5 linked regions of the Macaca fascicularis genome follow. The protein of the gene in region 2 interacts with the protein of the main gene of each other region in a biochemical or structural test. Links are inferred from orthologs where the notes say so. Each region holds a gene or a part of one and is shown on either strand. Other genes may lie near its edges. The genes, in order: TPP1, TERT, HSP90AA1, PTGES3 and CIB1.

Evidence for each region.
Region 1: the proteins of TERT (region 2) and TPP1 form a complex in vitro, tested with the Homo sapiens proteins (2 studies listed by BioGRID and IntAct). The link is inferred for Macaca fascicularis from reciprocal best matches to the Homo sapiens genes TERT and TPP1.
Region 3: the proteins of TERT (region 2) and HSP90AA1 form a complex in vitro, tested with the Homo sapiens proteins (2 studies listed by BioGRID). The link is inferred for Macaca fascicularis from reciprocal best matches to the Homo sapiens genes TERT and HSP90AA1.
Region 4: the proteins of TERT (region 2) and PTGES3 form a complex in vitro, tested with the Homo sapiens proteins (2 studies listed by BioGRID). The link is inferred for Macaca fascicularis from reciprocal best matches to the Homo sapiens genes TERT and PTGES3.
Region 5: the proteins of TERT (region 2) and CIB1 form a complex in vitro, tested with the Homo sapiens proteins (2 studies listed by BioGRID). The link is inferred for Macaca fascicularis from reciprocal best matches to the Homo sapiens genes TERT and CIB1.

The regions. Positions count from the first base shown.
Region 1 is NC_088388.1:59,459,322-59,465,800, reverse strand, and holds the start of TPP1 (tripeptidyl-peptidase 1), read right to left. Parts: upstream 4,804-6,479; 5' UTR 4,782-4,803; coding exon 4,765-4,781; intron 4,649-4,764; coding exon 4,577-4,648; intron 4,297-4,576; coding exon 4,157-4,296; intron 3,155-4,156; coding exon 3,004-3,154; intron 2,807-3,003; coding exon 2,679-2,806; intron 2,532-2,678; coding exon 2,353-2,531; intron 2,260-2,352; coding exon 2,061-2,259; intron 1,909-2,060; coding exon 1,720-1,908; intron 1,469-1,719; coding exon 1,399-1,468; intron 957-1,398; coding exon 836-956; intron 724-835; coding exon 565-723; intron 386-564; coding exon 260-385; intron 81-259; coding exon 1-80. UniProt on the Homo sapiens protein: Lysosomal serine protease with tripeptidyl-peptidase I activity. May act as a non-specific lysosomal peptidase which generates tripeptides from the breakdown products produced by lysosomal proteinases. Requires substrates with an unsubstituted N-terminus.
Region 2 is NC_088380.1:1,608,122-1,613,864, forward strand, and holds part of TERT (telomerase reverse transcriptase), read right to left. Parts: coding exon 5,669-5,743; intron 1,972-5,668; coding exon 1,845-1,971; intron 330-1,844; coding exon 268-329; intron 1-267. UniProt on the Homo sapiens protein: Telomerase is a ribonucleoprotein enzyme essential for the replication of chromosome termini in most eukaryotes. Active in progenitor and cancer cells. Inactive, or very low activity, in normal somatic cells.
Region 3 is NC_088381.1:170,187,016-170,193,295, forward strand, and holds the start of HSP90AA1 (heat shock protein HSP 90-alpha), read right to left. Parts: upstream 3,479-6,280; 5' UTR 3,420-3,478; intron 2,822-3,419; coding exon 2,660-2,821; intron 2,571-2,659; coding exon 2,204-2,570; intron 1,884-2,203; coding exon 1,750-1,883; intron 1,456-1,749; coding exon 1,135-1,455; intron 1,020-1,134; coding exon 854-1,019; intron 429-853; coding exon 238-428; intron 136-237; coding exon 1-135. UniProt on the Homo sapiens protein: Molecular chaperone that promotes the maturation, structural maintenance and proper regulation of specific target proteins involved for instance in cell cycle control and signal transduction.
Region 4 is NC_088385.1:63,469,142-63,474,927, forward strand, and holds the end of PTGES3 (prostaglandin E synthase 3), read right to left. Parts: intron 4,443-5,786; coding exon 4,380-4,442; intron 2,998-4,379; coding exon 2,973-2,997; intron 2,694-2,972; coding exon 2,674-2,693; 3' UTR 1,541-2,673; downstream 1-1,540. UniProt on the Homo sapiens protein: Cytosolic prostaglandin synthase that catalyzes the oxidoreduction of prostaglandin endoperoxide H2 (PGH2) to prostaglandin E2 (PGE2).
Region 5 is NC_088381.1:74,709,138-74,715,374, forward strand, and holds CIB1 (calcium and integrin-binding protein 1), read right to left. Parts: upstream 3,946-6,237; 5' UTR 3,890-3,945; coding exon 3,839-3,889; intron 3,709-3,838; coding exon 3,674-3,708; intron 2,308-3,673; coding exon 2,199-2,307; intron 1,491-2,198; coding exon 1,340-1,490; intron 1,199-1,339; coding exon 1,080-1,198; intron 992-1,079; coding exon 903-991; intron 473-902; coding exon 451-472; 3' UTR 217-450; downstream 1-216. UniProt on the Homo sapiens protein: Calcium-binding protein that plays a role in the regulation of numerous cellular processes, such as cell differentiation, cell division, cell proliferation, cell migration, thrombosis, angiogenesis, cardiac hypertrophy and apoptosis.

The sequences.
Region 1 (6,479 bases), on a different chromosome or scaffold from region 2:
GGATCCCAGCCAGGGCCAGAGCAGAAACCCTGGCCCTCCACCTCTTCATCCAGACAGGATGCATGGCAGCCATGGGTTACCTAGGGAGGAGGCTGGCATCAGATCTGGGCCTGCTAGTACCAATACTTAAAGAGTATACCTCCTCATCCTGTATTCATATTTCAGAGGCTGTTCCATACCACCCCAACTGCCCCCAAGTCCCCCTTAGTACTCCCCATAGTTGTATGAAAATGTCCACACCCTTCCCTTCCACACTCACATCAAAGAGTCCTGCCCCATGCTGCTGGTAGAGCCTTGGGTTGAGAAAGCCAAGAGGGGGGCGGCCACTGAGGATTCTGTGCTCATTGATCAAGGATAGGAGCCCCCCAAACACTGGAGTAGAGGCCTGCAAGAGTGAAGGTGCAAGTAAAGGTCAGGGGTTCAGAGTGACTGGACTTTTTGACGGTGATGGTTTAAAGTATCAGACATCTCTAAGGAGTCAGGGGTTCTGGATGCAAGGTACTCAAGGTGTTAGGGGGTAAGGGTAGTTCCTGAGTGAGAGTTTGGAGATGGGCTGATTCTCACCGAGGTTCCGGACACCCATGGAATGGGCACTCTGTTGCTGACCACCCAGTAGCCATCAGAAAGTGCAGCCACATCTGGATAGGCACGGCCACTGGCATTGAAGTAACTGGATGGTGGAAGGTGGGGGCTAGAGCTCAGGAACTTGGCTACAGCTTCCTCCTGAAAGGCATTTTTGAGTGAGTATTGGCATGTGGCCTGCCCAGCAGTCAGCTGAACTGAGGATCCCCCATCCTCACTCTTACCCTGCATCTATGCACATAAACACATGTACCTGGTATGAAGGCCGTGGGAACACATTGCTGAAGCCACCACCACTGATATAGTCAACAATTTCATTTGTGATGAGGAAAGGTTCCTGGAAGGATGTGCCTCCCACTGTGGTGACATAGGGGCTGAGGGGAGAAGACAGCATTCAGATAGTAGGGGACCCAAGGGGACCTCCAAGATATGTGGGGAGGGGTGAGTATAGCCCAGATCTTGCTGGAGGAACTAGACTCTATGGGGAAGCATCTACATAGGATTGACTAAGAGATTTTGAGCCTTCAAGGCATGGTCCGAGGTGACTGTGCACACGTTTCTCTACAGAACATCCACCAAATCTTCCACTAAAATGCCTGGGGACTGAAGAAAAGGAACAATGGGAGCTGTATCCCACACAAGAGATTTGGGGCCTGGGACCTACAGGAAGAAGAGACAGGAGTGCAGCAACCAGGGCAGGCAAAGCTTAAGGCTGAACCACAGGAGCACATGGTGGGGTCAAGACAAAGGTTCTACATCATGAGATCACAAGTGAAAGGTGGTGGTTATACTTGAGTGGTAGGCTAGAGTACTTACCTGGAGGCAGGGAAGGTAGGGCGGAACTGGTGTCTTCCAGAGACAGACCAACACCCGGCCCCACTGTCACCTAAGAGAGACCAAGTGTAGCACTCATATTAATTGGTCAGGGCTTAGTATGTGGGTTCAGATGTCAGAGAGGAAATTTATGTGTCAGCTGTTACTGCAGGAGGTCAGAGTGTAGAGGTTAGGTCAGTGGTCCCTGTTGGAAGGTCTAAGTTCAGATTATGAGTCAGAGACCAGGCTCAGGGGTCACTGTGGGGTCAAAGCTCCCAGGTTGCAGGGGTGGAAGCGTTGTCTAAGTTTAGGGTAGGAGGTCACCTGAGGCGAAGAGCAGGGTGAGACCCCGAGCAGCAGCCTTCATGAGCTCCGTGTTGACCCGCTGGATGTAGGCACTGCTGAGGGAGTCCTCCTCATCTCCATAGCTCACAGTATGCACATGTGGCAGGGCTGACTCGTTACTGAGCAGCATGAGCCACTGCAGGAAGGGCTCCTGTCCCTCATGCCGGCCTGGATTATTATTTTTGTTTGAGGGATGGGCACAAAGATAGTCATTGGGGGTTGTCAGGATCTCTCTCCAGCTTACAGCATTCCCTTGAGGGGGCAGGGATCAATACCCATCTCCCACCCTCTTCCCCACCGTCCAGTCCTCTTGGCAGTACCAGGGCTACTGTAGACCCAGGTGGAGATGTTGGCGCCAGCACTCATCAGGTACTGCACATCTAGACTGGCCTCAATCCCGGCCCGGCCCCGGCCCTGTTGTCCAACCACACGGGTTACTGATGCCTGATGTGCAAAGTTGCCACCGAAGAGGCGCATGAACTGAGCCAGGTCTGAGTCATGGAAATACTGCTCCAGGAACTATGGAGGGAGTCAGAGCAGAGGTCGTGGGTCTGAGGGTGAGTCCCAGTGTGGCAAGGCACTGAGGACCCTGGGGCTCTTTGCTTGGCTCACCTGGGCACAGGCTTGGCTGTTATTGCTGGTGCCAGAGCCCACGTCTTGTGAGGTCAAGTTATATCGCTTACGGATCACAGAGGGGGTCACCCCCAAATGCAGGCCTACAGTCCCTGTCACCTGCGGCTCAGGACGTTGCCTCAGGGATGATGTTGGGGGAAAACGGTGCAGTCCCCCCACTGTAGGGAGAAGTCAGGCTTGAGGAGATCTTATAGACTGTAATGCCCACCTTACTACTCACCCTACCCTCAGTCTCCAAAGGCATCTAAACTTCCCCAGCCCCTGGATCTGTCTGCCCCAACCCTCATTCACCCCATAGGTGTTACCAAAGTCCACATGGGGGGCCAAGGCCTGTGGAAGCTGGTAGGGACGTGGGGACCTTACAACATGGGTCTCTGTAGGTCCTCCCACATAGTGATGAAACTCAGCCCCAGGGAGTAGCAGCTCTGCTTGCCTGGAGGTCAGAAAACAGAGGTCAGAAAGCTCAAAACAGAACAGAAGAAGCTGCCTCTGAGCATCCCTGGGCAGTCAGTCACTGTCTCCCCATGCATCAGCTCCCACCCACAAGCCCCAGCAAGCTCTCAGCTCCCTCCCATCCATCTCACTGAGGGGATGACTGGTGCCCTCCATGGAGAAATCATTTCCTCTCACCGGATGCTCAGCCAGCAAGTCAGAAAGTCCTGTGTGATCACAGAATGGCACTTCTGGGCTCCGGCTGCCAAGAGCCATTTTTGCACCGTGTGGAGGGTCAGTGGGGATGGCCTCACCAGATCAGCCACATTCTCTAGGGTCAAGTATTTTCCTGCAGGGATTCAGAAGCGGCACTTGCCCTCATTCGTTGCTTTCCCAAACTCCCCGTTTTGGACCTCGACTATGAGACATCAGGACTTCCCAAAGCCTGGATCAGGGTAAAGGAGGGTTGTGCGTGCAGGTGTAGGTTGTACTTGGGGAGCAGAAGAAGAAAAGGCTGGAGAGACTTGAAATGCCATGGCCAAGAATATGGATTTACCCTAAAGGCCAGTAAGTTGCAAATGTCACACCACAGCATGTATTGCCATGATCATGAAAATCAATGAGATTAATACATATAAATTTTCCATTTTAATCTTAAGCTTATGTCCAGTAAATGTTTTCAAATCTCTTGGCACTAGTTATCCAGTTTAGCTCAAATTTGCATACTTGTTGATTTTAAGCTTAACACGATGGTGAGTCACTGTTTCCTGCCATGCATACTAGTGTCACACTGCCCTGTCCCCAGCCTCTGCAGTTCACATGTGCACACTCCCCCTGCTGTGAAGGGCTTTAACCAGGAGAAGGAACCAATCCATTCTGACTGTTGGAGAGACTTTTGAAGCAGAGTGGGGGAGTACAGTGAGGGGTGGGGTGGAGGGAGACTGCAGATCAGCTGGGGAGCTGGGCAGTAGTCCAGGAGTGGGAATAAATGAGTTGGTAGTAACAAAGGACAGCAAGAAGTAAACTAATCCAAAGGCTCTTTGGGAGTTAGAACTGGCAGCCTTAGTATGTGAACAGAAGAAATTAGAATGGATTCAAGGGTAGGGGAAGGAACTTAAGTTGTACTAGATGCTATTTTCCCGTTTGCCTGGTAGCTAGTAAGTAGCAGAGTCAGAATTTGAGTTCATGTTTGATCATAAAGCCTATATGCTGAACCACATCCCCTTTTAGGTTTCTAGCCTGAGGAACACAAGTGTCTTGTCAGGCCCTGACATGATCACCATCCCATGCCCAACCCAGCCCTGTGTCCCTCCACTGCATCCCACATCCTGTCCTCAGTCCCAAAAGGCACCGTATTGAGGAGAGTTGGGATCTGACACAGCCTGCACCAGCTCCGAGAGTCTTTCCAGGTTCTGCTGTCTCAAGGCAAAGGTGAGACTCAGCTCTTCCTCAGGGTCCGCACGGCCCAAGGACACCCAGCCTGGGGGCAGCCTGTAGGGTCAGGGGTCAGGGACATGGCTTTGGTTAGGGTAGAGATGAAAAATATTGGTCATGGAAGGTTCCAGATTAGGAGCTGAGACCTTGGGTAGGATCCTAGGAGCAGATACAGATCACATGAGGTGAATGACAGGGGACTGAGCCTAGGAACCTAGAGATGAAACTATGGAGTGTGTACTAGGAGCTGGCATGGGGGTGAGAGAAGCTAGGACCAGGACAGTGAGAGGCAGAACAGGGTATGGGGAAGGGGGTGGTCTGTGCTAAGTCAACTCACGTTCTCCGCTGGTCGGGCTCCGGGCTGTAACTGCATTTGCCAGAGAGGATGAGGGCAAAGAGCCCTAGGAGGCTGTAAGGGCAGCAGGTGGGTTTCAGTGGGAGCTACATTGTCCTTGTGTTCCCACCCTCCCAATGTATGCTCCCCCCAACGTGATCCCTTTCTCCCCAGCCCTCTCAATTTCTCACCAGGCTTGGAGTCCCATTCTGCCCTTCCGCAGATCTGCTGTCATGTGACAGATCACATGAACCCTATAGTCCACCACCAACCCTCTGCCTAGTAACTAGTGACGGTGCTGGCTCCTCCCTTGCGTGGGTGGTCCTGAATGCTAGGCAAGGGTGGTGCCGCCACTCGGATTCTCCCCTCTGGCCAGTCAAGCGCTGAGTAAGCCCAGTGCTCCCCACCTGCAGCCTGAGCTTGGTCCCCTGGGAATCACCACAAGTGAGTAGGCTCTAGAGACCCACAGACCGGGGTTCTTCCTAGCTATATGATATCAGCAAAATAACCTCTCAGAGCCTAGGTTTCTGCATTTACAATATGGAGACTTACATAAAAGTGATCTGCCTTGAAAATATTGCAGTGAAAAAATTTTTTCCTCCTTTATGTCTCCATATTATCAATTTTGTGTTCATTTTAGGACTACATTTATGAACAGAGTAGAGCTTTTGCAAGATCAGGATCCTTTTATTCAAATCCGTTTCCAGTTTTAAGTCGCTTCCCAGGAGATCTAAAATCAGCTGGGGTCCTGTTTATTACGGGTCCCAAGGTTTTCAAGGAAATCAACTTTGTTCCAAGAGCCACGGAGGAATCTTGCATCTTGTTTAGTGGGCTCAGGTGACTAAAATGGAAACAGACCTTTGCTTCTTTCTAATGGTAACTCAAAGCCCACAAGGTCTGAGTTTACTGCTTCGAATTGGGGTCATTACAAGAAGATTTTCAATGAGAGTTAAAACCCTGAGGATTCAGTTCCCTTCCAGTCTTCTTAAGTATTTTTTTCCCCAAAAAATCCATATGGAAGATGGTGTCAGCAGTGTCATTTTAACTTCTAAAACCATTAATCCTATACTCATGTAAAATCCCTTGTTCTGACCTCAATACTTTTTAGATAGATCCCTCTACTCTTGCTGTTTTCCTACAGGCCACTGACATCCATAACCTATAGATCATATTCCCACGCTGAAGATTACGGCACTTCACTTTTCTCTCCATCCCAATTCCTGCGATCATTTGACCTAGATGATCAAATTATCTAGGTAAAAGACCCATTCAACACCCTAACCTTCCATTTCTTCATCTCATTAAACCCAAGGAGCATTACCTTCACTTCACTGAAGCAAACCAGTCCCATGGCTACACTTGGGCTTGCTATCTCTCAAAACTGCTCTACCTTTGAAATTATAATTATAGAATCCTTTCTTAGACTATAACCTTCTGTTTTTTCAAGCTATTGTTTTTCCTTACTCCTATTAATCTGACTTCCTCCTGTCCATTGATCCCTCCAGTTTCCCACTAAGCTTGGATCCTAGAGCTGTATTTACTAGCATCATGCTCAGAAACATTTCTCTTTGACCACTTTATTTTTTTTTTCTAATTTCCTCAGTCCCATGAACTTCTCAAATATTGGCCAATCGCCTTTCCCTCACAGCCTGGCTCCCCCAAAGAATGGTCTACACCAGTGGTTCCCAAATCCCTTTGTATGACTGTGAAAATTTACACTGAGATGAAGCAAGACAGCCACCTGCAGAAAGCCTGACATGACAAAGGCTCAACAAATTGAGCTATTATTACAATGTGGATATTTAGTGGCCCCAAGAAAAACAAATAAACCCCTTGACTGCTCTTGTACCCACCCCGACTTATTTTTAAAAAAGAATTTCGGGCCTAGAGCTGGTCATCCCCAAGA
Region 2 (5,743 bases):
TGGGTTGGCCTCCATGAGGTCCCACAGTCAGTGCACAGGCACAGCGGGGACACCTGGGGCCACGTCGGTTCCTAGCACTACCCAGAGACGGAGAACAGGCGCTTTGCACAGAGCCACGCGAACACAGAACAGGGCAGAGGCAGCAGCACCGCTGAAAACATAAGACACTCCTTGCCCCTAAAACCCAGGTGTAGCCCCCAGTCAGAGGCGAGCAGAGCGCGGCGGGTCCCTGGAGGCTGGGCCTGCGCCCCCTTGGTGGCGGCTCACCTGTAGGCCTGCAGCAGGAGGATCTTGTAGACGTTGGTGCACACTGTCTGGAGGCTGTTCACCTAGAATCGCCAGGAAAGAGTGAGAAACGGCAGAAACCTCTCTGGGATTTTAAGTTTTTACTTTTTACTTTATCATCCATTCAGATGGCACAAGAAAGAGGAACATTTTGACAAGAAACCATCCCTCTCGCCAGTGAAATCCGGCCTGACCCTCACCCGGCAGCTGTCAACCACCCTGGGGGAGTCAGGACTCCCTGTCGTCTGCCTGCCTCCGAGGCTTGGCCAAAAAGGGAAGGCACCAGGAGAGGGAGTGAACGCAGATGCCCACAGGAGAGGGGAGTGGACACAGATGCCCATAGGAGAGGGGAGTGGACACAGATGCCCACAGGAGAGGGGAGTGGACGCCCACAGGAGAGGGGAAGTGGATGTGGACCCTCACAGGAGAGGGGGAGTGAAGGCATGGCAGTGTGTACACAGGTGTGCAAGGGCACAAGTATGAATGTGCACATGCAAATGTATACCTGACATGCATGTGTTCGTGTGCAGTCATGCGGCATTCACGTGAGGTGCATGCATGTAGGTGTGCAGTGTGAGTAGCATGTGTGCACATAACCTGTATCGAGGGCCCCTCATGTTCACCCTGATAGGTCCTCAGCACCAGCACCCCTCCTTATAGGGTGAGACAGGGTCCCAGGCCCCAGTGGGCTGTGGCTCTGAAGTTGCAGTCCTGAGAGCATTGTCCCGTCTGGACATCTGCATCCACTCCCTCTCCTGTGGGTGTTCACTCCCCTCTCCTGTGGGCATCCACTCCCCCTCTCCTGTGGGCGTCCACTCCCCTCTCCTGTGGGCATTTGCATCCACTCCCCTCTCCTGTGGGCGTCCACTCCCCCTCTCCTGTGGGCATCCGTGTCCACTCCCCCTCTCCTGTGGGCGTCCACGTCCACTCCCCCTCTCCTGTGGGCGTCCGTGTCCACTCCCCTCTCCTGTGGGCGTCCGTGTCCACTCCCCTCTCCTGTGGGCGTCCGTGTCCACTCCCCCTCTCCTGTGGGCGTCCGTGTCCACTCCCCTCTCCTGTGGGCGTCCATGTCCACTCCCCTCTCCTGTGGGCGTCCGTGTCCACTCCCCCTCTCCTGTGGGCATCCACTCCCCCTCTCCTGTGGGGATCCACCCCATCTCACCCTGTAAGGAGGGGCGCTGGTGCTGAGGACCTAGCAGGGTGAACATGAGGGGCCCTTGATACAGGTTATGTGCACACATGCTACTCACACCGCACACCCACACGCATGCACCTCACATGAATCCCACACGAATGCACATGAACACACATGCACATCAGGTATGCATTTGCATGTGCACATTCATACTTGTGCCCTTGCACACCTGTGCACACACTGCCATGCCTTCATGTACACACACACGTATGGCTCGCGTGCATCTGCGCACATGTGCACTCTTATGTGCAGCCAGTCACCGTCAGCCTTGCAGGCACGCACACACACACGTACACATGCGTGCACACAGTAACACACATGCCTCTCGAACTCTGAACTCTGTGCTGACCGTCAGCCTGCTCACCTGCAAATCCAGAAACAGGCTGTGACACTTCAGCCGCAAGACCCCAAAGAGTTTGCGACGCATGTTCCTCCCGGCCTTGAAGCCACGGTTGAAGGTGAGACTGGCTCTGATGGAGGTCCGGGCGTAGCTGAGACACAGGGGGGACGTCAGACACGGGTGCCTGCCCCACACCCAGCCCCCTCCTGCAAAGCTTGCTCCAAAGAGCCTCCTGCCTTCCTCCTGCTTCCTTGTCCTGCCTGGGGCACGCGCTGTAGCCTGAGGGAGTCGGGTGCTCTCTCCGTGGACTCAAAACGCTACACGCCATCCGGACCCTGCATGGCCAGACTCCACCAGGACGTGGCTAGTGATGTTGAGTGTATCCAAGCCTTGCACGGCCGTGTGTGTGCACTCATCATCTGCCCTGATGAGATCTGCACATAACTCGGCCAAAAATACATAATAAACTATGGAGCCCTGACTCCCAGGCGTCCCTCGAGCGGACACGGGTGTGACTCAGCTTCTCTGTGGGAGAACACTGAGTCGGGCATGGGGAATCTCACTGTGTTTGAATCTCATGGATGGAAGAGCCAGGTGGCGCCAGCTAAAGAGGGCTCCAGTGAGTGCACGTGGCACACACAGGGTATCTCCAGAGGGGCAGGATGGAGGCATCCCACCGACGTCCTCTAGGGCCCTGCCACCACTCACTGCCCGTGTACATCCGTGTCCAAAGACGAACACACGTGACATCCACAGCGGGCTCCCTGGGCTGCGTTCTTTTACATCCAGCTTTGAACACTGCTACATTGAAATAAACGTTTTGTGCCATTAAACATTCTTCAAAAATTCTTTGAAAACATGTCTAACAGCAGAGTTAAGTTTTGTGATACATAGTATCTGCTTAGCCCTGGATTTGGGCGGGTTGGCGACTTGCTGTGGCAATCCCCCCCTCCCCCATACCTGGAGCACTGGAAATGGGAAATAAGACCCGTGATAATGTCTGGTCACTTCAGAAGTGGAATTACTGGGAAAACACAGGACATTGTAAGGACTTCCATGCAAACAAGCTGCTTTCCAGAAAAGTCTTTCCAACTTGCCTCACCCTGATGCTGGCTCTTGGGAAGCCCAGAAAAGGAGCCAGCACAAAGGACGGGTCTCGCTGTCAGTTTCACACGCATTTCTTTGATGCTGCTGGTAGAACCTTCCCAAGTGTGCATCAGATGTCCATTTCTTCCTTCACAGTTGTCACCAACACAACCTTGGGCTCCGGCTAGCCCCGAGCCTGTGGGTCTGACCTGTGTGGGGTCCTCAGGCGGAGCAAGGGCCCCAGAGCAGCAGGCCAGGCTGCAATCACACACGCCCCTTGCCAGCTGGGTGCTACCCTGGAGGCCTTCTTCATCTACCTCTCAGGTGGTTAGGAGAACAAAGTGAGAGGATGAATGTGCAGGACCTCACAGAGTGCCTTAAATAAATCATGTGCACAAATGCTCCAGGGAACAGCCATTTTCACTGCGGCTCAGGCAAGCTGAGTTCCTCTGCGTGAAAGCAATAGCTGTTGCCTCACTGGTTTCATCTACCTCCCTCCGTGTCCTTCCCCAACACCAAATCAGGGAACGTTCACCTCCCTTCCCTTTGAGTCTTCCGTTTTGTTTCTGTTGCTGCTGTTGTTTGCACGTCATTCCTCTTCTACCTAGAATCTGCTCTGGTACATGTTGTAAAGACACAACTTATTTGCTTCCAGTCAGTTTTCTCAGAAAACAAAATTAAACACACACTCTCTTTTCCGTCAGCTGTGCCACATGCCACATTTAACACACGTTTCTGAGAGGTAGGGCTTCCGTTTTGTTCTATTGTACTGTCCATCACTTCTCACCACATTCTGCCATCTAAGCTGTGGTTTGGGAGACTAAAATCTGGACAAGAAAATTCCCATCTTAACACTCTTCCTTTTTCACTTTTCTTAATCATCTTGCCTGTTTTCTTCTCCCAGATGCCCTTCAAGCCTTTGTATGCTTCAGACACAGAGGACGTGTGTTCACCCCGAGTGCGGCGAACCACTGCCTCTACTGCTGAGCTTTTACAACCACCTCTGCAAGCAGGCACTCTGACCAAGTGGCCTTTGGGAGCACAGAATATTCTGGCATTGAACCCACATCTGACGACCTGATGCCCACCCATCCTGCACTAGCCTTTGTGGCTTTGCAATGTGTTCAGAGAGAACCCATTTTCCTGATTCGTTTGTCTGTCTGCTTTGTCCTTCAGTAACATTCACTGATGCTGTGCCATAGGCCGGAACCAGGGGTGCCTGTCCTAAAAAATACATTTCATGGGGAGCAAAATAAACAGTGGACAGTTCACGGCTGATGGTATGGCCAGTGCTGCAGAGGCGCCTAGGGAGAGGCAAGGAGGTGCCGGGAGCCCAGGAAATCTGCAAATCACCCAGACAAAGCCAGCAGAGGCCAGGATCAGGTGAGGCTGGGAGGGGGAAACAGGGACTGTGGGGAGCACAGGGGACCGGTGTCCTGGTGGGGAGGGAGCTGCAGCAGGGATGTGCTGGGCACCATGCACGAGGGCATCTACACCTGCCACTCCCCCAACATGAGGGTGTCCGCACCTGCTGCTTCCCTGTTAAGCAAACCCCAGGGAGCATTCTGGAAAGAGGCAAAGTCCAGATCCGGACTGTTAACTCAGAATGACAGGACCCCAGTTTAAACCACTGGTTTAACAATCATCCAGTAAGGGATTTAAAAATCCCTTATTTCTCTTCCCATGAAGCCGTGCCTTTTAGAGGAAGGCACCCCCAGTTCCGGCCTCTAGCACAGCACCAGTGGATATTATTGAAGGACAGAATAAAAAGCACCTGTCCACCATGGTTTTGGAATGCTGATACTTTTTGCCTTTTTTTAAGGTGAAGTCTCGCTCTGTTGCCCAGGCTGGAGTACAGTGGTGTGATCTCAGCTCACTGCAACCTCTCCTGATTCTCAATGATTCTCAACCTCTCCTGAGCCTCAGTGATTCTCCTGCCTCAGCCTCCCGCATAGCTGAGACTACAGGCGTGCGCCACCATGCCAGGCTAATTTTTGTACTTTTTAAGTAGAAACGGAGTTTCACTATGTTGGCTAGGTTGGTCTCAAACTCCTGGCCTCAAGTGATCCACCCATCTCGGCCTCCCAAAATGCTGGGATTACAGGTGTGAGCCACCGCGCCTAGCCTGGAATGGTGAGAAACAGCACAGATTTCTGCATCTGTGTCCATCTTCAATCCATCTGTGTCTGAGCCTGAGGTGGGGCCATGAGCTCTCAGGCTCAGGAGAAATGAGACCCCAGATTTTTGTAGAGACCCCCACACACCACAGCCCTGTCCCCTGATGCGTCACACGTGATCATGAACTCATGGCATCATGTAGACTGTGGATGAGCCTCGGAGTGTGGGCCTCACAGTGGAGAGACTCACGTCCAGCAGGGCCCCAGTGTCTCAGGTTCGCAGAGACTCAAGCCCAGCAGGGCCCCAGTGTCTCGGGTTTGGAGAGACTCACACCCAGCAGGGCCCGGGCGTCTCGGGTTCAGATCCAGATTGCTCTCTGAGGACACCTCAGTGTTCCCAGGTCTGGTGCACAATTTCCTTTTACAAAAATAGCACAGAAAACCTCTCCCCTTGTGACACCCTCACTCCCACAGAAAGACGCATTTCTGCTCAGCCCTGGATGGGACGAGGGGCACCCTGTGGCCTCCGACCCTTTGGGATTGGCAGTCGCCTGCCCCACACGGAAGCAGGGGTGGACGGGACGTCCCTGCAGCACCATCTGTCCCTGCCGGGCACAGGCTCCGCTTCCGGCCAGGTGTGCTCACCTGGAGTAGTCGCTCTGCACCTCCAGGGTCCGGGTGTCCAGCAGCAGTCCGCACCAGGGGAACAGGCCGTGCGCC
Region 3 (6,280 bases), on a different chromosome or scaffold from region 2:
GATATGTTTCTGGTTTTCCTTCATTCTGGTGCAGTAATCCTTGAGAGAAACCATCTCATCGCCAGAGGCAGATGTGTAGTACCTTAACAGCTCTGAAAGCTTCTTCCGATTTTGTGAGTCTTCATGTATTCCAAGCTAAAACAAAGTATGTTCTTTACTAAAGACTCTCTGAATTCAAAAAGAAATCTAAAAAGAGGCCAGCAGGGAAACTACCAATGGTCAAATATTTACACCAACCTTTATGTTTTTAGAGAACTGCTCATAGAACTTCTTGTAGTTCTCTTTATCTTCCGCCAGTTCAGTAAAGAGTTCTAAGCATTTTTTGACCAAATTCTTCCTGATAACTTTCAAAATTTTGCTTTGCTGCAACATCTCACGGGATATATTTAGAGGGAGGTCCTCTGAGTCTACCACCCCTCTAATGAAGTCTGAAAAAAATATAAAAATCAAATGCACTGAGTCATTCCAAGGACAAAACTGGTACTATGTAAACCCCCAAAAGCAAAGACAAGAACCTGGAGATGATAGGAGATTATTTTTGAGACAGTGTCTCACTCTGTTGCCCAGGCTGGAAGGCAGTGGTGCAATCTCCGCTCACAGCAACCTCTGCCTCCCAGGGGGGTTTTCAAGCTATTTTCATGCCTCAGCCTGCCACCACATCGGGCAAATTTTTCTAATTTCAGGAGAGATGGAGTTTCACCATGTTGGCCAGGCTTGTCTTGAACTCCTGACCTCAAGTGATCCGCACACCCCGGGTTCCCAAACTGCTAGGATTACAGGTGTGAGCCACCATGCCCAGCCAGAAGTATTTCTTTAATCAGTGACAGTGATTATTTTTCCTATCTATACTTACTCAGATATTCAGGGATTAGCTCCTCACAGTTATCCATGATGAAAACTCTGCGTACATACAATTTGATGTTGTTCTTTTTCTTTCTGTTTTCAAACAGGTCAAAAGGAGCACGTCGTGGGACAAATAGAAGGGCTCTGAATTCCAACTGCCCTTCAACTGAAAAATGCTGTAATAGAACAAACACACTAAGTATCAATGAACAATGCATTATAGCAGATATTTGGGGTGGTGGGATGATAATCTAAAGACAAGCTTGAAGCATCCATCAGTCCCTCACTCACCTTCACTGCCAAGTGATCTTCCCAGTCATTGGTCAAGCTCTTGTAGAATTCTCCGTACTCCTCATTAGTAATATCGTCGGGATTTCTGGTCCAGATGGGTTTTGTTTTGTTGAGTTCTTCTTGATCGATGTACTTCTCCTTAATCTTCTTTTTCTTCTTCTTGTCACCATCCTTCTTTTCTTCTTCTTCCTCATCAGAACCAACATCTTCAATTTCAGGTTTGTCTTCAGACTCTTTCTCTTCTTTTTCTTTTTCTTCTTCTTTGTCTTCTTTTTCTTCAGCCTCATCATCGCTGACTTCTTTATCACGTTCCTTCTCCACCTTCAAAAGACATGAAATCGCATCACTGCTGCACTCTAGAACTAAGTCATAGCGCTGCCCCACTACTTTCAACCTAAGGCCAAAGCCTAAATTACCGAGGATGAGAAGCAGCCAGGCAGCTTCTCATCAATATTTGATATATCTACTTAATAACCCGAGGAACCTTCACAGTTAGTAGAGCTTAGGTTCCCCAGGCTTCAGACTAGTTCAACAGACCTAGGAACTAAGGATGTAGTACAGTCACCCCAGTCACCTACAGACAGTAATTCACTCTGCAATTATGTAGAAACTTACAAAAAGAGTAATGGGATATCCAATAAACTGAGAATGTTTCTTCACAATCTCCTTTATTCTTCGTTCCTCCAAGTACTCAGTTTGGTCTTCTTTCAGGTGTAGGATAACCTTTGTTCCACGACCCATAGGTTCACCTGCAAGAGAAATAAGGAAAATTGACTCAATAATACATTCAATTTAGTGCTCAACGCCATGCTTAACCCTTATAACGTGTCTATGAAGCGAGGTTTGCCCTTACTACAGATGCAAAGGCTCCCACAGCAGATCTAAGTGCCTTGCCCAAAAGAAGTAATCACCAAGTCATGCCATTACACACTAATTCAGAGCTCTAGCTTGTTCCTGATCCTTGGGTAAACACACTTTCTGTGAACTTCGCCGCATCCCCAGGGGTCCAAGGGTTGCAACACCCCACCATTCCGCCACTGACTTAACCAGTGAGTGTTCAGGTACCTACCTGTGTCTGTCCTCACTGTAAATGATCCCCCTGCTGAGGACTCCCAGGCGTACTGCTCATCATCGTTATGTTTGGTGATCACAGTTACTTTCTCAGCAACCAAATAAGCAGAATAAAAACCAACACCGAACTGGCCAATCATGGAGATATCTGCACCAGCCTGCAAAGCTTCCATGAACGCTTTGGTCCCAGACTTGGCGATAGTACCAAGGTTATTGATCAAGTCAGCCTTGGTCATCCCAATTCCAGTATCCACAATAGTGAGGGTTCGATCTTGTTTATTTGGTATCAGGTTAATATGCAGCTCTTTCCCAGAGTCTAATTTACTGGGATCCGTCAAGCTCTCATAGCGGATTTTGTCCAATGCCTATTAACACAAAATATTAATTAAGCATACAGCCCCCAAGAAGTTCATATTGAAACCAAAATCCTATTCTGGGTTAATAAACGACTTACATCTGATGAATTTGAAATTAGCTCTCTTAGAAAGATCTCTTTGTTCGAATAAAAAGTATTGATAATCAATGACATCAACTGGGCAATTTCTGCCTGAAAGGCGAACGTCTCAACCTCCTCCTCCTCCATCGGTTGGTCCTGGGTCTGCGTTTCCTCAGGCATCTGGAACGACACCGCGCCGGTTTAAAACCCTGCAGAGCGTCTACAGGGGCAACACGAGATTCCATCGCGTCCTCCCAATATTTTTAAAGCCGGATTGCAGATTTGCGAAGTTTAAGTAAACCGAAAATAGAAGGGCGGCTGACAAAGGATGACCTCATTTCGGAGCGCGGTAACTACCACGAGCGTGTGCGCGCTTCCGGGAGGCCACTGCAGGCCCGGCCCAGTCCCGCGCCGCGGTCCCCAACCGACACCCCGTGTGCTCTCCCGCGCGGGCCGCGGCTCCGCCAGGGCGGCCTCCTCCGCCTGCGCCCCAGCTGGGCCGCCCGGGGGGCCCCCAGCCAAAGGGCCGCTCTGCTCGCGTGCGGCGCCAGCTCCGGGGCTGCCGCGGAGCCTCGGGGAGCAGCCGCCCAGCCCATTCCTGAGGCGGGCTGCGGAGACAGCAGCGGGCCCACGGCCTCCGGAATAGGCAGCGCGGCCTCCCGGGAGAGCGGCCCTGGCGGGTTCAGGGCTCCCGTTCGGCCCCCACAGCCTCCGCTCCGCGCCAACCGCCCCCACTCCCCAATCCACCTCCACAGGCCCTCACAACCGCCCCTCACACCTTGGCTAAAAGGCTGCAAACGTTCCACCGCACAGCAGCACCAAGACGCTGAAGCAACTGACGCGCCGCCCCCGCGCCTGCCTTATATAGCGACGGGCCCGCCCAGCGCGCGGCGCTTTTTCCAGAAGCCTCCCGAACCTTCCGGAAGAACCCTCCCCAACCGCCGCCGCGGCCGCGCGCCTGCGCCTGCGCCCTCGCCCTCGCCGTGGCCCGCCCCTCCCGCTGGCGCGCGCAGGCCCTGCTCGTGGCCCAGCCCGGGAAACCTTCCCTCAATCACCGCCCCGCGCCTCTCGCACGCCCCCGCGCCGACCTCAATGCGCCTGCGCGGCCTGGAATTCTCGGGAAGGTCCGGGCGCCTTCTGGGGCCGCCCGCGCTCTCTTCCCTGCACTCCCACCTGCCGAGCGCGGGCGGAGGGCACGCCCGGGCGTGGGGGCCTTTGAAGTGAGGTGTAGTTTGGTCACCCGGGCTGCGCAGAATGCGGGGCTGGGGCGGGAGGCGCGCCTGGAGGGAGGGCCGTGCGTGGACGGGGAGCGCCCCGGGTCTCGCACGCCTGGGAAACTACCGGAGCCGTCATCCTCACGGACGGCGCGCCCGCTGCCAAAAAACCCAGCCGCAGGCGGCGCCGGGATCGCGGGGCTCTGCTCCCTGGGGGCCTTTGGGCTGTTGGCTTCTAGCTGCTGCGCGCAGGGGACGCCGTCCCGCGGCCTGCGCGCTCGGGGAGTCTCCAGACCCACTGCTGGCTCAGGAGCGCTCCCTACCTTTGGGTTCCCCGGAAGCCATGTCCTTCACACTTCAGGATCCCTTAGCTTGGGAATCGGGCCCTTGGTGAATAAATTCATGCTTACCCAGCTACACCCGGCATGCTTTTTAAAAGCCCATCGTTTTGCCGATCGATTTGAGGTCTCCAAATTAAGTATCTAACACTTGACATTTTGGTGATTAACCTTCCCTAAAAGACAGGTTTGGTGTTTTTTTGTTTTTGGACAGGCTGTCCCTCTGTCGCCCAGGCTGGGGTGCTGTGGCACAATCTTGGCTCACCGCAGCTTCGACCTCCCGGGCTCAGGTGATCCTCCCACCTCAGCTTTCCGAGTAACTGGGACGAGCGCGGGCGGAGGACCACAAGCGCGGACACCACACCCGGCTAGTTTTTGTATTTATTTGTATAGTTGGGGTTTCACCATGTTGCTCAGGCTGGAAGAACCAGTTTCTACATGAGAATTTTCAGATATTTTGGTCAAGGCCAGCTATGAGAACCTTGGAGGTGTTGGGGATCCTTAGACTTGGCTCCCATGCCTGGTCCATGTCCTCTTCCTCTCTGGCGCCTCCCACGATTGGGCCTCCTCCTGCCTAAACTCATAGCCAGGTCCTGGGAATAATCTGGAAGCTCCTTACCGTGTAAACAAACGACGGAACTACTTCCGCTTCCTGGTCTCTAGGGAAACCAACTTATTCAGGAGCAGGGGTTTTCAGACTGCGGCCTGGGACCCTTTAAGAGTGTGTGAAATCAACATAAAGCGTCTTGCCCAGCATTACAAAGCGGGGTGGATGGAAACTAGCAGCCACGTGGCGCGGGCCCCAGCGGTGGTTACTGGGTGTGTGCCGGCTCCCGTGATAGCTGTTCCGCAGCCTTGGGGGGCGCCCCCCGCCCAGGCCTTCCCTACACTGCAGCCGAGACCGGCGGGGAGGAATCCGGAAGCAGGCGGGGCGGTGAGCAGGTTGCTGAAGGGGCGCAAGGTCTTCCCTGGCGAGTGCCTCCTCCGCCTGTTTCCTTCCTGTCACCACCAGCCACTGTCCCCACTCTCCTCACTTGTAGGAACTTTTCCTACCGCAGTTTCTGCCATTGCCAATGGGGTTTGAGATTTCTTATACAAGAGCCATCCCGGGCCCTAGCTCTGACAGTCTGTCTTTTGTTTTTGGGACCTTCATTTTTCCCCGTTTCTCCAGTGAACCTGCCCCAAAGCCCCTGCCTGGGTCTGGGCATCACTGGGAACCACCGTTTCCCGTCAGGCCCCACCTTTAATGTCCCTCCTTCCTTCCACAACTTCCTGTCTTTCCAGCTCTCCCGCCTCGGTTAATAAACAGGACATTGGCCGGGCGCGGTGGCTCAAGCCTGTAATCCCAGCACTTTGGGAGGCCGAGACGGGTGGATCACGAGGTCAGGAGATCGAGACCATCCTGGCTAACACGGTGAAACCCCGTCTCTACTAAAAAAAAAAATACGGCGGGCGCGGTGGCTCACGCCTGTAATCCCAGCACTTTGGGAGGCCGAGGCGGGCGGATCACAAGGTCAGGAGATCGAGACCACGGTGAAACCCCGTCTCTACTAAAAATACAAAAAATTAGCCGGGCGCGGTTGTGGGCGCCTGTAGTCCCAGCTACTCGGGAGGCTGAGGCAGGAGAATGGCGTGAACCCGGGAGGCGGAGCTTGCAGTGAGCCGAGATCGCGCCACTGCATTCCAGCCTGGGCGACAGAGCGAGACTCTGTCTCAAAAAAAAAAAAAAAAAATACAAAAAACTAGCCGGGCGATGTGGTGGACGCCTGTAGTCCCAGCTACTCGGGAGGCTGAGGCAGGAGAATGGCGTGAACCCGGGAGGCGGAGCTTGCAGTGAGCTGAGATCCGGCCACTGCACTCCAGCCTGGGCGACAGAGCGAGACTCGTCTCAAAAAAAAATAAATAAATAAATAAAAAATAAACAGGACATTTTTGTCCTGTCTCCGGGTGACATTCCACAGTTACACACCAGTTGAGACCTCTGCCATGGTTTCTACCATCAATATGCCAGCCCCTGGCTGTTCCTTCTCTCTTCTCAGACTCATGTCCCTCTCCCTGGCACATCACGGAGCTCCTGGAGGTGGGTC
Region 4 (5,786 bases), on a different chromosome or scaffold from region 2:
ATTTTTAAAATTATAGCCAGGTGACACACACCTTAATACTGGCACTTGGGGAGGCCAAGGCAGGCCTATCACTTGAACTTAGGAGTTCAATACCAGCTTGGGAAACATGGAGACCCGTCTCTACAAAATATGTAAGTCCACCAGGTGTGGTGCTTGAGATGTGACTGCACCACTGCACTCCAGCCTGGGGAAGCTGGAGTGCAATGGCACAATCTGGGCTGACTGCAACCTCTGCCTCCTGGGTTCAAGCGATTCTCCTGCCTCAGCCTCCTAAGTAGCTGGGATTACAGGCGCATGACACCACACCCGGCTAATTTTTTTGTATTATTGATAGAGAAGGGGTTTCATGATGTTGGCCAGGCTGGTTTTGAACTCCTGACCTTAGGTGATCCTCCTGCCTCAGCCTCCCAAAGTGCTGGGATTACAGGCGTGAGCCACCATGCCCAGCCTTTTTTTTTTTTGGAGAAACTTCTGTCTACAAAAAAGTTCGTGGTGCAATCTTGGCTCATTGCATCCCCAATGGCCCGGGTTCCATTGATCCTCCCACCTCAGCTTCCACAGTAGGTGGGATTACAGGAATGCGCCATCACACCCAGCTAATTTTTTTGTGAAAATAGGGATTCGCAGGTTGGGCGTGGTGGCTTATGCCTATAATCCCAGCACTTTGGGAGGCCAAGGCAGGCGGGAGTTTGAGACCAGCCTAGCCAACATGGTGAAAACCCAGCTCTACCAAACATAAAAAAAAAAATTAGCTGGGCATCGTCGTGTGCGCCTGTAATCCCAGCTAGTCAGGCGGCTGAGGCAGGATAATTGATTGAACCTGGGAGACGGAGATTGCACCCTTGCACTCCAGCCTGGGTGACAGGGGAGACTCCGTCTTCCAAAAAAAAAAAAAAAAAAAAAAAAAAAAAATTGGGGTTTCACCTTGCCCAGGCTGGTCTGAAGCAATCCACCTGCCTGTCTCCCAGAGTGCTATTACAGGCAGGTGGGAGCTACCGTGCCTGGCCTGTATAATGGCATAGTTTCAAGGCTGGGCGGTAAGCCAACGAATCATTCATTTCCAAAAGTGACGTATGAATTTTTTCAAGAAAATCAAACAAGTTTTTAAAATGTTTTCCCCACTGAAGAACTACATATCGTAATGCACTATGCATATCTATTATCACACTTCCTATCAAGTTTTTGTCTCGTTTGTTCCCCCAGCCTAGCCTGTGAGCTCTCTGAGCTCAGCAATCATCTGAAATATTCTTTGTATCACCAGCACTTTAACTGCCTGCAACACAGGTCCTGAATATCCGACGTAAAAAAGTGCTGAAATACATAGTCTTTTTTTTTTTTTTTTTTTTTGAGCTGAGTCTCGCTCTGTCGCCCAGGCTGGAGTGCTGTGGCCGGATCTCAGCTCACTGCAAGCTCCGCCTCCTGGGTTCCCGCCATTCTCCTGCCTCAGCCTCCCGAGTAGCTGGGACATAGTGTTTCTATGTTATGACAACTACAGAAGCTGTGAGGGAATGAAAACTTCCAAAATGCAGAAGTTCAAAGATTTAGAGGAGGACAACACATTTAGTTTTATTTCAATCAAATCACAACACTTTCTTTTCCAACTGCTGCAAAGTGCATCTACAATATTCTATTACAGATCCACTTTTAAAAGGTTTCCTGTGACATTACAGCAAGCCTCTTTTTTTCAAACAGAGGAATAATCCCAAATTCTTCCTCAAATAAAAATAACTCCATTCCAGTAAATGGTAAATACATAAAAATTACAGTAAGCCAGACACTTAAAAGGACAGCCAAGAAGTCTTCCAACAGTTTATTAGAAAGAATGTAGACATTTAAAAAAATCCCCACTGTCATGAACATAAATTGAGGTTTTCAGCCCTGGTATAAGCTGAATCAAAAAAAGAAATAAAAAATCCAATAGTGTATTAAACATTTTTCACTCATTTGCCATACTTGACAGTGCAAATACAAATCTGGTCTAAATGTACAGACTCTCAAGCAACAATGTACAGCTTTCTTCGTCCTCCATGCTAAGAGATGTAAAAGCTTAAGGGTCAAACAATACCAAATGTATAGGCTTCAAAAACCATCTAAGTTAGGGCATTCTCTAGTTTTAGCTAAGATACACCTGGAACACTGACAAGTGATCACTTACATAGAATCATATGAAGTAAATTTTTTGAAAAATAAATTTTAGTGGAACAATCCTGAAGGAACACCAGGAGAACAGCAGGTTACCAGTAAGGTGTCAGCCAATTTGTTCCAGCCACTTTTGAATCCATGTTCTATAATCTAAAATTTAGTTATCTTTCCCTAAGCTGAGAGCTTCCTATCATGTCAGTATCTATGTTATGAAGAAAAGGAGACTTAGGTGAGATGTTTCTATTTATCACAACAGCTGCATCAATTGCTTAGGACCTCAACAGCTTCATGAAAGTCTGGGAAATGTTCATGCATAAGGTTATTGCCTTAGCTGACTTAAAATTGCCCCATACAATGGTACATATCAACCCTTAGTGAAGCCTTTTAAAAAACAAACAGGTTGAAAAATGGGTTAAAGTAGGCAAATACAGCATCTGCCTTTAGAGCTATCAACTCAGGAATTCTCTCAATTATGAAATCTTGCAGAGAAGTTATTTTTCTTTCTCAAAATCCAAGTGATGACAATACTCCTTACTCCAGATCTGGCATTTCTGAAAGAATTGTAAAAAATATTAGTATAAAGTACATGGGAATAATCTACCAATTTTAATATCTTAAAGGAAAAGCAACCAAAAATTGAATTATACAGTTCCCCAGTAAATTAATAGGTTGTCTTGCTATCTTAAGTTATTCACATTTCTGTTTTAGTTATTTATTCAAGGTCATAAAGAAAAAATTACTTTTTTTCAAAAGAAGTTAACATCTCTATTTTGAGTTTGGTTTTTGATGCAAAATATCACTGTGTAAACATACTTTTTACATACACTTACTTTCATCATCACTGTCTTGTGAATCCTGAAAGAGGGAAAATAAAGTTACCAAACTGATCAAATACTTGAGTTTACCTGAATAGTTCAAGCGCTATTATTTTTGACTAAAGTAGCACAGGTAGGTAGTTATACCAAGCCTAGAAATTTAGTCATTGGACTTAAGACTAGGTTTAACCTAAGGTGAATGGATGTACAGCAGAGGATCTATCTACCTGTAAAAAATAGTGTGCACCTTTTGGTGACAGTTTAGCCCACCCTTTGAATCCATTCCTAAATTAACCTATGTCAGCATTCAAGAGAAAACATGGATCAATATGAAGAAAAATAGATTGACAGAAGACAGTGAACTCTAATCCTAGCTGTTGAGTGAATATTATATATTTTTCTAAATAGCATTAAATAACTTTCTGGGAGATGTTAACAGGATGCTGGGGTTGACAAGATGTTGAGAATAGTTGTTTATTATATCCTCATCCTCCTCTTACAGATTTACAATGTCCATCTGTTTTGTTTTGGTTTTTGGAGATGGAGTCCTGCTCTGTCGCCCAGGCTAGAGTGCAGTGGCGAGATCTTGGCTCACTGCAACCTCCGCCTCCCGGGTTCAAGCGATTCTCCTGCCTCAGCCTCCCAAGTAGCTGGGATTACAGGCACCCGCCACCGTGCCCAGCTAATTTTTGTATTTTTAGTAGAGACAGGGTTTCACTATCTTGGCCAGGCTGGCCTCAAACTCTGATCCACCCGTCTCCACCTCCCAATATCCATCTGTTTCATCAGTCTCTGACCAATCCTGACATAAAACCTATTTAATTTACTTTCTTAGTCAAAATAATCCCTATAAACTGACTTTTTTTTTTTTTTTTTTCCTTGAGATGGAGCCTTGCTTTGCTGACCAGGCTAGAGTGCAATGGTGTGATCTTGGCTCACTGCAACCTCCGCCTCCCTCGTTCAAGCGATTCTCCTACCTCAGCCTCCCCAGTAGCTGGGATTACAGGCACCTGCCATCATGCCTGGCTAATTTTTGTAGAGACAGGGTTTCACCATGTTGACCAGGCTGGTCTCGAACTCCTGACCTCGGGTAATCCACCCACCTCGGCCTGCTGGGATTACAGACGTGAGCCACCTCGACCGGCCTGAACCGACTGTTATAATTGAGTAAGGTATTACTACATAATGTCTCTATACAATTATTCTTTGGAAATGCGATCCATTTAGGAATGGTCTACGGCAAAACCAGTTCCCTAATAGATACCCATTCCTCAAAAATGGGCACATTTTAAAAATTGCTTTTCCCTTTATTTTTTTTTTTTTAGAAAAGTAGTAATCCTGAATCTATATAAAACCATTTGTAAATATGTTGTTTACTATTTAATAGTATGAAAGTAAACAGAAAAAAACTTTTAGACTTACATCATCTGCTCCATCTACTTCTGGTAAATCTACATCCTCATCACCACCCATGTTGTTCATCATCTATTTGAAGTGTAAAAATTAGTTTTAAAAATGATGTTAAGTTAGGCCCTAATTATTAATGCTGTATGCTTCAGAATAAACCTTAGGTCTGCCACGGATATCCACAAATGAAAAATGCAAAATAAATGTAAGCATCTTCCCTTCTGGAAAAGGAAGATTATAAGCAATTACACAAAATTCTAAAAACCTATACGGAAATTAAAACTAAATTTTCCCTAAAGAAAAGGTTTTAGATATTGTGAAGAACCAATAAATGATTTAAACCTAAACTATTATCAGATGATGAGAAACTTATTTTCTCAAGTTTAAACCATTTCTGTAATGTTTATATTTTAGAAAAATAAAATCACATATGCATGGAAAAAAATCAGATTTCAAAAATACATGATCACTCAGATTTTAGAATTGGAAGGGACCTTTTTTCTTTTCTTGAGATAGAGTATCACTCAGTCACCCAAGCTGGAGTGCAGTGGCGTGATCTCGGCTCACTGCAAGCTCTGCCTCCCGGGTTCACGCCATTCTCCTGCCTCAGCCTTCCCAGTAGCTGGGATTACAGGTACCTGCCACCACGCCCAACTAATTTTTTTGTATATTTAGTAGTAGATAAGAGTTTCACTGTGTTAGCCAGGATGGTCTTCATCTCCTGACCTGGTGATCCGCCCGCCTCTGGCCTCCCAAACTGCTGGGATTACAGGTGTGAGCCACCACACCCAGCCTGGAAGGAACCTTAAAAAGATTAGTCAAACATACAATGGAATGTGTTCATCCTAAAAGTAGGGATTATTCAGCCTTAAAAGAAAAAAATCTGCCTTATGTGACAAAACACAATGAAGAATCTGAAGCATGTCATGTTATGTGAAATAAGCCAGTCAGGGACAAATACTGCATGATTCCACTTATATAAGATACCTAAGATTATATGAGATACCTAAGACAGACACACAAAAATAGAGAGAATGGTAGCTGCCAGGAGTTGGAGGGAAGGGAAAATGCAGACTTGCTACTGTTAAATAGGTATGAAGTTCCAGTTACACAAAATGCATAGTTCCAGAGACCTACTGTACAGCATTATGCCTATAGTTAACAATACTGTATCATGCACGTAAAAGTCTGTTAAAAGATAGCTGGGCATGGTCAGGTTCGGTGGCTCATGCCTGTAATCCCAGCACTTCGGGAGGCCAAGGTGGGTAGATTACTTGAGGTCAGAAGTTCGAGGCTAGCCTGGCCAACATGGTGAAACCCTGTCTCCACTAAAAATACAAAAATTAGCCGGGCGTGGTGATCGGAGCCTGTAATCCCAGCTACTTGGGACGCTGAGGCAGGAGAATTCCTTGAACCTACGAG
Region 5 (6,237 bases), on a different chromosome or scaffold from region 2:
TCATCTAACCACCACCCCAATCAGGATACAGGAGAGTACCACCCCTCCTGCTGCCCCTTCATCCTCACACCCTCCCACGGGGACAGCCAGCACGGGTGTGGCTTGACTTCCCACTGGCCCCTGCTCGATATGCTGCTTATTCCTAGGATGATCGAAGGCTCCTAGAAGAGAAGTCCAGTCCTTCCTCACACCATGTATCTCATATCACACACAGGGTCAAACTTCTAAACCTTTATTACTGATTAGTACAAACACAAACGGAGCAATGACAATGGTAGTGAGGAGAGGCCCTGACAAGGAGGGCTACCCCTGCCCGGGGTGAGGCTGCACAGTGCCAGCTCCAGGCTGGGCCAGCGTGGTCTGCGCTGGCAACACAGGCTTGATCTTGGCCACAGCTCAGCAGTAGAAAGGTTCTTGGACAGGGTGCCAGGACACACGCTGGGGCTGCTGTCACAGGACAATCTTAAAGGAGCTGAACAAGAGAAAAGGGGTGGGTTTTCTGCTGGAAGAGGAGGGTAGGGACTAAACCCAAACTTGACCCCCCTTCTCCCTTTAGACCCTTCTTTGGAACGAACTGTGTCCCGTGTGTCAGCCCACACTGGAAGAACTCCCTGAGACATCCAGAGGGAGCTTTCTGGACCCACACACAGGGTCAGAGCTTCTAAACCGTTATTACTAATTAGTACAAACACAGAGCAATGACAATGGCAGTGGCAAGGGGAGAGGCCTTGACAAGGAGGGCTGCCCCTGCCCGGGGAGAGACTGGCAGCTTAGCCGGCCCTGTGTGTATGGACTGGGGCTTTCTCTCACCCTGGCACCACCTCCTGTAGCAATGTCCTAGGCCCAGAGGCAGCAAATCGGGACCTGCAGGTACCCAGAATGCAGGGGCACCACTGTCATACCTGGCAAAGTCTGGAGAACGGGAGATGACGTGCTGGAACTCAGAGAGGTTGATGGTTCCATCCCTGTCAATGTCAGACTCCTCCAGGATCTGGGAAAGGGAGAGTTTCAGGCCAGAGCCCCAACCCCTCCCTCCCACTCCCAGGCCCAGCTGGGGCAGGGCCTGTTCAGCTGCTCACATTGTCGATGAGCTGCTTCATCTCAGATGCACTAAGCCGTGTGTCCTCGCCCTCTCCCGTGAGGCAGTTCACCAGCCGGCTCAGGTCTTCTCTGTTCAAGGTTCCATCATCATCAAAGTCTAGAGAACAGACACAGGAAGCCAAAAGACACGGTTGGGAGGGGCTCTGAGGTTCCACAAGCACGCCATTTCCCAAGCAGGGCCACCACAAAGCCCATGTGGGAAGGGGTGGTGTCCTGCCGGGCTGCTCCTGGTTCTCACCGAAGATGCGGAAGGCATAATGGGACTTGATGTCCGGCGTGGCTGTGTCACTGAACACACTGAGGAGGTCCAGGAAGTCCTCAAAGCTAAGGCTATCTCTGGTTGGGGAGGTGGAGAAGACCCTGCAGATTCGCTCCTTGAAGGGGTTGGCCTAGGAGAACAAACGCCACAGGATGTGGCCCAGGTCATACACTCATTAAACCCTACCAGAAACTTGAGAGAGCAGGTCACAGGACCGGCACCAGGGAGCTCAGGCTCGTGGGGGTGAACGATCAGTGCTTTGGGGCCAACATGAAGGGCAGTGGGGGCACAGGAAAGCAAACTGACCCAGTTAGGGAAAGGACTGATATGGCTTCCTGGGAGTCAAGTGTTTAACCCAAAGGCAGGTCACATACAACATAAGTGTGGGCAGAGAGGGAAGAAGTCATCCTAAACAAAGGGAACGAGATGGGCTGGTTATTTTAAAACACAAATATTTAATTGAACAACTATTGTGTTACGGGCACTGGGCCAGGCCCTTTGCACAGATATTTTGCAGCAGCCCCACGGAGTGGCAATCAGCCTCTAGAACAGGGTTCCTCAAACTTTAATAAGGTAACTCAACTCCTCTTAAGGGATAAAACTTCTCTGAACTTCCAAGATTATGTTCTAGAATCCCCATTTGAAAAGCACCATTCTAGATAATTCTGCCAGGTGATTTTGGTCAAGTCCTTGTCCCCAGAAAATTAGAACTAAGCAGAAAAATGACCAGAATGGGGCCCAGTGACCCCATGATCTCAAAGCTAGTGGCAGATGGAGCTAGGGGGTCTAGCAGGGAGGGAGTGGTGGGAGAGGTGTCAACGAGGGGAAGCGCTTGCACCTTGAGCTCTGGAAGGCTGAGAATCTGCTCGAAGGGCACTTGTGCCAGAAGTGACTGCTCCACGCTCCGCTGCTCCTGGGGAAGCAGCTCACAAAACCGCCTGTGGGCTCTGGTAGAGAGAGGGGAACTGTCGGTGTTCTCAGCGATCGGTTTCCCTGTGTGTTCATTCCCACTCCTTGCCTGCTGCTCATTATCAACCAGGTGAGGAGCTAAAACCACATGCACAGAACTTCCGAGTCATCAGGCAACAGTAAGCAAAAGGACATGTCACAAGGCAGTACAGCCTAGGAGTCTTTTCTTGCAATAAGTATTTACTGAGCATCTACTATGTGCTGGGCACTGATTCTAGAGATCCCTGAGGGATGAAGAGTTGGGGAAAAGGCCAGAAGTTGGCCCTAAAGAACTGGCCAGGCATGGTGGCTCACACCTGTAACCCCAGCACTTTGGGAATCCAAGGCGGGCGGAGCATTTGAGGTCAGGAGTCTGAGACCAGTCTGAGCAACATGGTGAAACCCCTTCTCTACTAAAAATACAAAAATTAGCTGGGCATGGTGGCAGTTGCCTGTAATCCCAGCTACTCAGGAGGCTGAGGCAGGAGAATCACTTGAACAAAGAGGCAGAGGCTGCAGTGAGCCGAGATCGTGCCCCAGCACTCCAGCCTGGGTGACAGAGCGAGACTCTGTCTCAAAAAAGAGAGAGAGAAAAAAAAAACAAAAACAGGGAGAAAAGAGCACAACCAAAAATCTCATTCTCACCATCACTCCAGGGATCTCTTGCCCTCAAAGCCTCCTTTTTAGCAGCCACCCTGAACTGTCCTCCTCCTCGGCCTCCGCCTCCTTCCCATGAGATTATCTTTGCCGCAGGAAGCCCAGGCACCTCCTCACTCAAAGTGCCCTGGCCTGCATAAAATCTGGCAAAAGGGCTTCCAGCCCAAGTTCAAATCCATTTACTCAAGAGTGTTGTCTTAAGCAGTTACCAAACCTTTCTGAACCTGTTTCATTGTCCAATACCTCTCTCCTAAAGATTAAATTAGGTAATGCAGGCAACAATGTAGCACAGTCCCTGGCACATGGTGAGTGCTCAGAAAGCGATAACGGTTACTGTATTATTCAGGTAAAGTTGGGAGAAAGAGCCAGGCTCCCCAAGGCTTCTGTGGTTTAGCCACCGGGCAAGGTCGGCCCCTGCCGGACTGGGGCAGGAAGTTCGGCAGTGCTGAAGCTAGTGGAGCTCAGGGTCAGAGAGCCTAACTTTTCCTGGAGGCTGTGAGGTGGCTCCGCGGTGCCACGCTGGGGCCTCAGGCGAGGGCGGGGAGGGCGTGCCGGGAGAAGGGCGCAGCCCGGGCTGGGTCTCCTGGCCTCCAGCTCCCGGTCCTCTGCAGACCTCAGGCCAGCCCCCGCCCCTCCCTTGGGACGGCGCCCCCGAAGCTGTCTCTAGAGGATCCCGGGGTCGCAGGCGGGGTTCAAGGCAGCACTTACAAGAGGATCTCCTGCTTCGTCAGGAACGTCAAGTCCTGGAAGGCAAAGCGAGAGCTGGCATTAGGGGACCGCTGGGAGGCCGCGGCCGCCCCGCAGCCCGCTCCGGACCCGGCTCCGGGGAACAGGCCCGCACACGAGCTCCCTAGGGCCAGGCGTCCCGCGCACCTGGTACTCGGCCAGCAGCTCCTTGGACAGGCGACTGCCCGAGCCCCCCATCTCCCCGCCTCGCGCACAGCTCCGCCAACTCGCCTAGAGACGCAGACAACTTTCTCACTTCCGCCCTTGGGCCGCGTCACTGCCCGGTCCCCGCGGCAACCGCTCCTGGGGCCACCACCCCCGGGCCCGCCCCGTCCTAAAAGCGCCCAGGCGTTCCCAGCCGGGTTTGGCAGGCGAGCCGCCGGCTCCGACCGGTCCCTGGCGAGCGGGAGGCGGGGCCCTGGGAGGGGCCCGACGCTCCGGGGCGGAGCCCAGGACTCACGGCCCCGCCTCCGGGGTGGGCGGGGGCGGGCCACGCCGCGCGCGTGCGTGCTGGCTGCGTATGCGTCACGGGAGTCGTGACCTCGCTGTGGCCCCGGCAGCGGCTGCAGGGTAAGTCGCGAGGTCCATCCGCTTCGGCTGCAGTAGGTGGTGGCGGCGGCTGCCCTGGGTGCGGTCCCGTAGGAGCGTCTGAGAAGTCACTGGAGCTAGCGTTTCCGGGAAACCTGGAGACTCGCTGAGTGGCCGAGGTCGTCGCCTGCCCCTCTGCCCAGCAAGGGCTTTTCTAGATGTTATCATCAGGCAATCGCTGCACCTGTCGCAGCCCCCAAGCCACCTCTTCCAGAAGTAACCATAACCTTGCTTCATTCTTAGGCTATTTACTGAGGACCCACTGGATGTGAAGCACTGTGCATAGTTTTCTTCGATTGTTGCAACATCCCTTGCAAGGTAGGCTCCCATTTTACAAAGATGGAAATACGTAAGTCCAAAGGGTTTTAGTGATTTTTCCGGGCTCAGGCATTTAGAAGGTGATCGGTCCAGTCCAAGGCACCTTTAAAGGCGCTCCACTGCTCTTGTCTTCATTCCAGCTGACCTGCTGTCCTTTTGACCCCATCTCACCCCTAGGCTGCTGACCCGTTTGCTCTTGTCCCCTCTTAACCTCTAGAACAATGTTTGGCACATAGTAGGCTTTCAGTAAATATTATCGAATGCATAATAAATGAATGAACGTATACTACTGCAAAAGGTAAGGATTCCAAACTGCTGGGAGGAGGAAGTGGAGGTTGTTGGTCAGGCTGGGATTAATTCTTGATCCTTCCAATCCATTATACTTGCTGATCTTTGTAAAGTCTAAATCTGAGCATGTTAATCTCAGTTTATAATCATTAAATGGTTAAAAACCCAAATCCTGGCCCTCTGTAACTGGACTTGCTCCTATTGGCTCTCTGTGTTTCAGTCACGTTGGGCCCTCAGTCCCTCTTCCATCTTATCCTCAGGGAAGCCTTTCCTGACTCCCTAGACTGCCTAGGAATCTACTTTACACTTGAAGAATACCCATTGCTTCTCCTTGGCAGCATGTGTTTAATAAGACCCACTGTATTAATATGTACATTCCATCACTGTAGAAATATTCAAGGCCAGGCGTGGTGGCTCATGCCTGTAATCTCAGCACTTTGGGAGGCTGAAGCAGGCGGATCACTTGAGGCCAGGAGTTCAAGACCAGCATGGCCAACATGGCAATACCCCGTCTCTACTAAAAATACAAAAATTAACCAGGCGTGGTTGAACCTGGGAGCTGGAGGCTGCAGTGAGTAGAGATTGTGCCACTGCAGTCCAGCCTGGGCAACAGAGTGAGACTCTCTCAAAAAAAAAAAAAAAAAAAACCTAGGGTATAGACTCATCCCAAGCTGATCATTTTTCTCTTAATAGCAGACTCTTTCTGTCCAAGAAGGAGTTAGTCTTCTGTTAGTAAAAGCTTAGGCAAAAAGCAGGAAGCTGTCATTATGTCTCCTGTACTAAATAGACCTTGTTTGCCTCTTACAAGCCAAGGCGAATACCTGGACTGCATGGTAGTAAGTATCTCTCTCTCTCTCTTTTTTTTTTTTTTTGAGACAGAGTTTCACTCTTGTTGCCCAGGCTGGAGTTCAATGGCATGATCTTGGCTCACCGCAACCTCTGCCTCCCAGGTTCAAGAAATTCTCCTGCCTCAGCCTCCTGAATAGCTGGGATTACAGGCATGCGCCACCACACCTGGCTACTTTTGTATTTTTAGTAGAGATGGGGTTTCTCCATGTTGGTCAGGCTGGTCTCAAACTCCCAACCTCAGGTGATCCGCCTGTCTTGGCCTCCCAGAGTGCTAGGATTACAGGCGTGAGCCACTGTGCCCGGCCATAAGTATCTCTTTATAGTGAAGACATGAGAGTCAGCTTTGTGCCTGGTGACTAGCTATGATCTAGATCTCTCAGCCACTTCACTTGACTCTGAATCCTTCATGGAACAACCTTCTGGTTTTCATTTTGCTTCCTGATTCATTTTGTACACTGACCAGCCAGCAAGAACCTTTTGTGCCATTTGGCACATTTCTTATT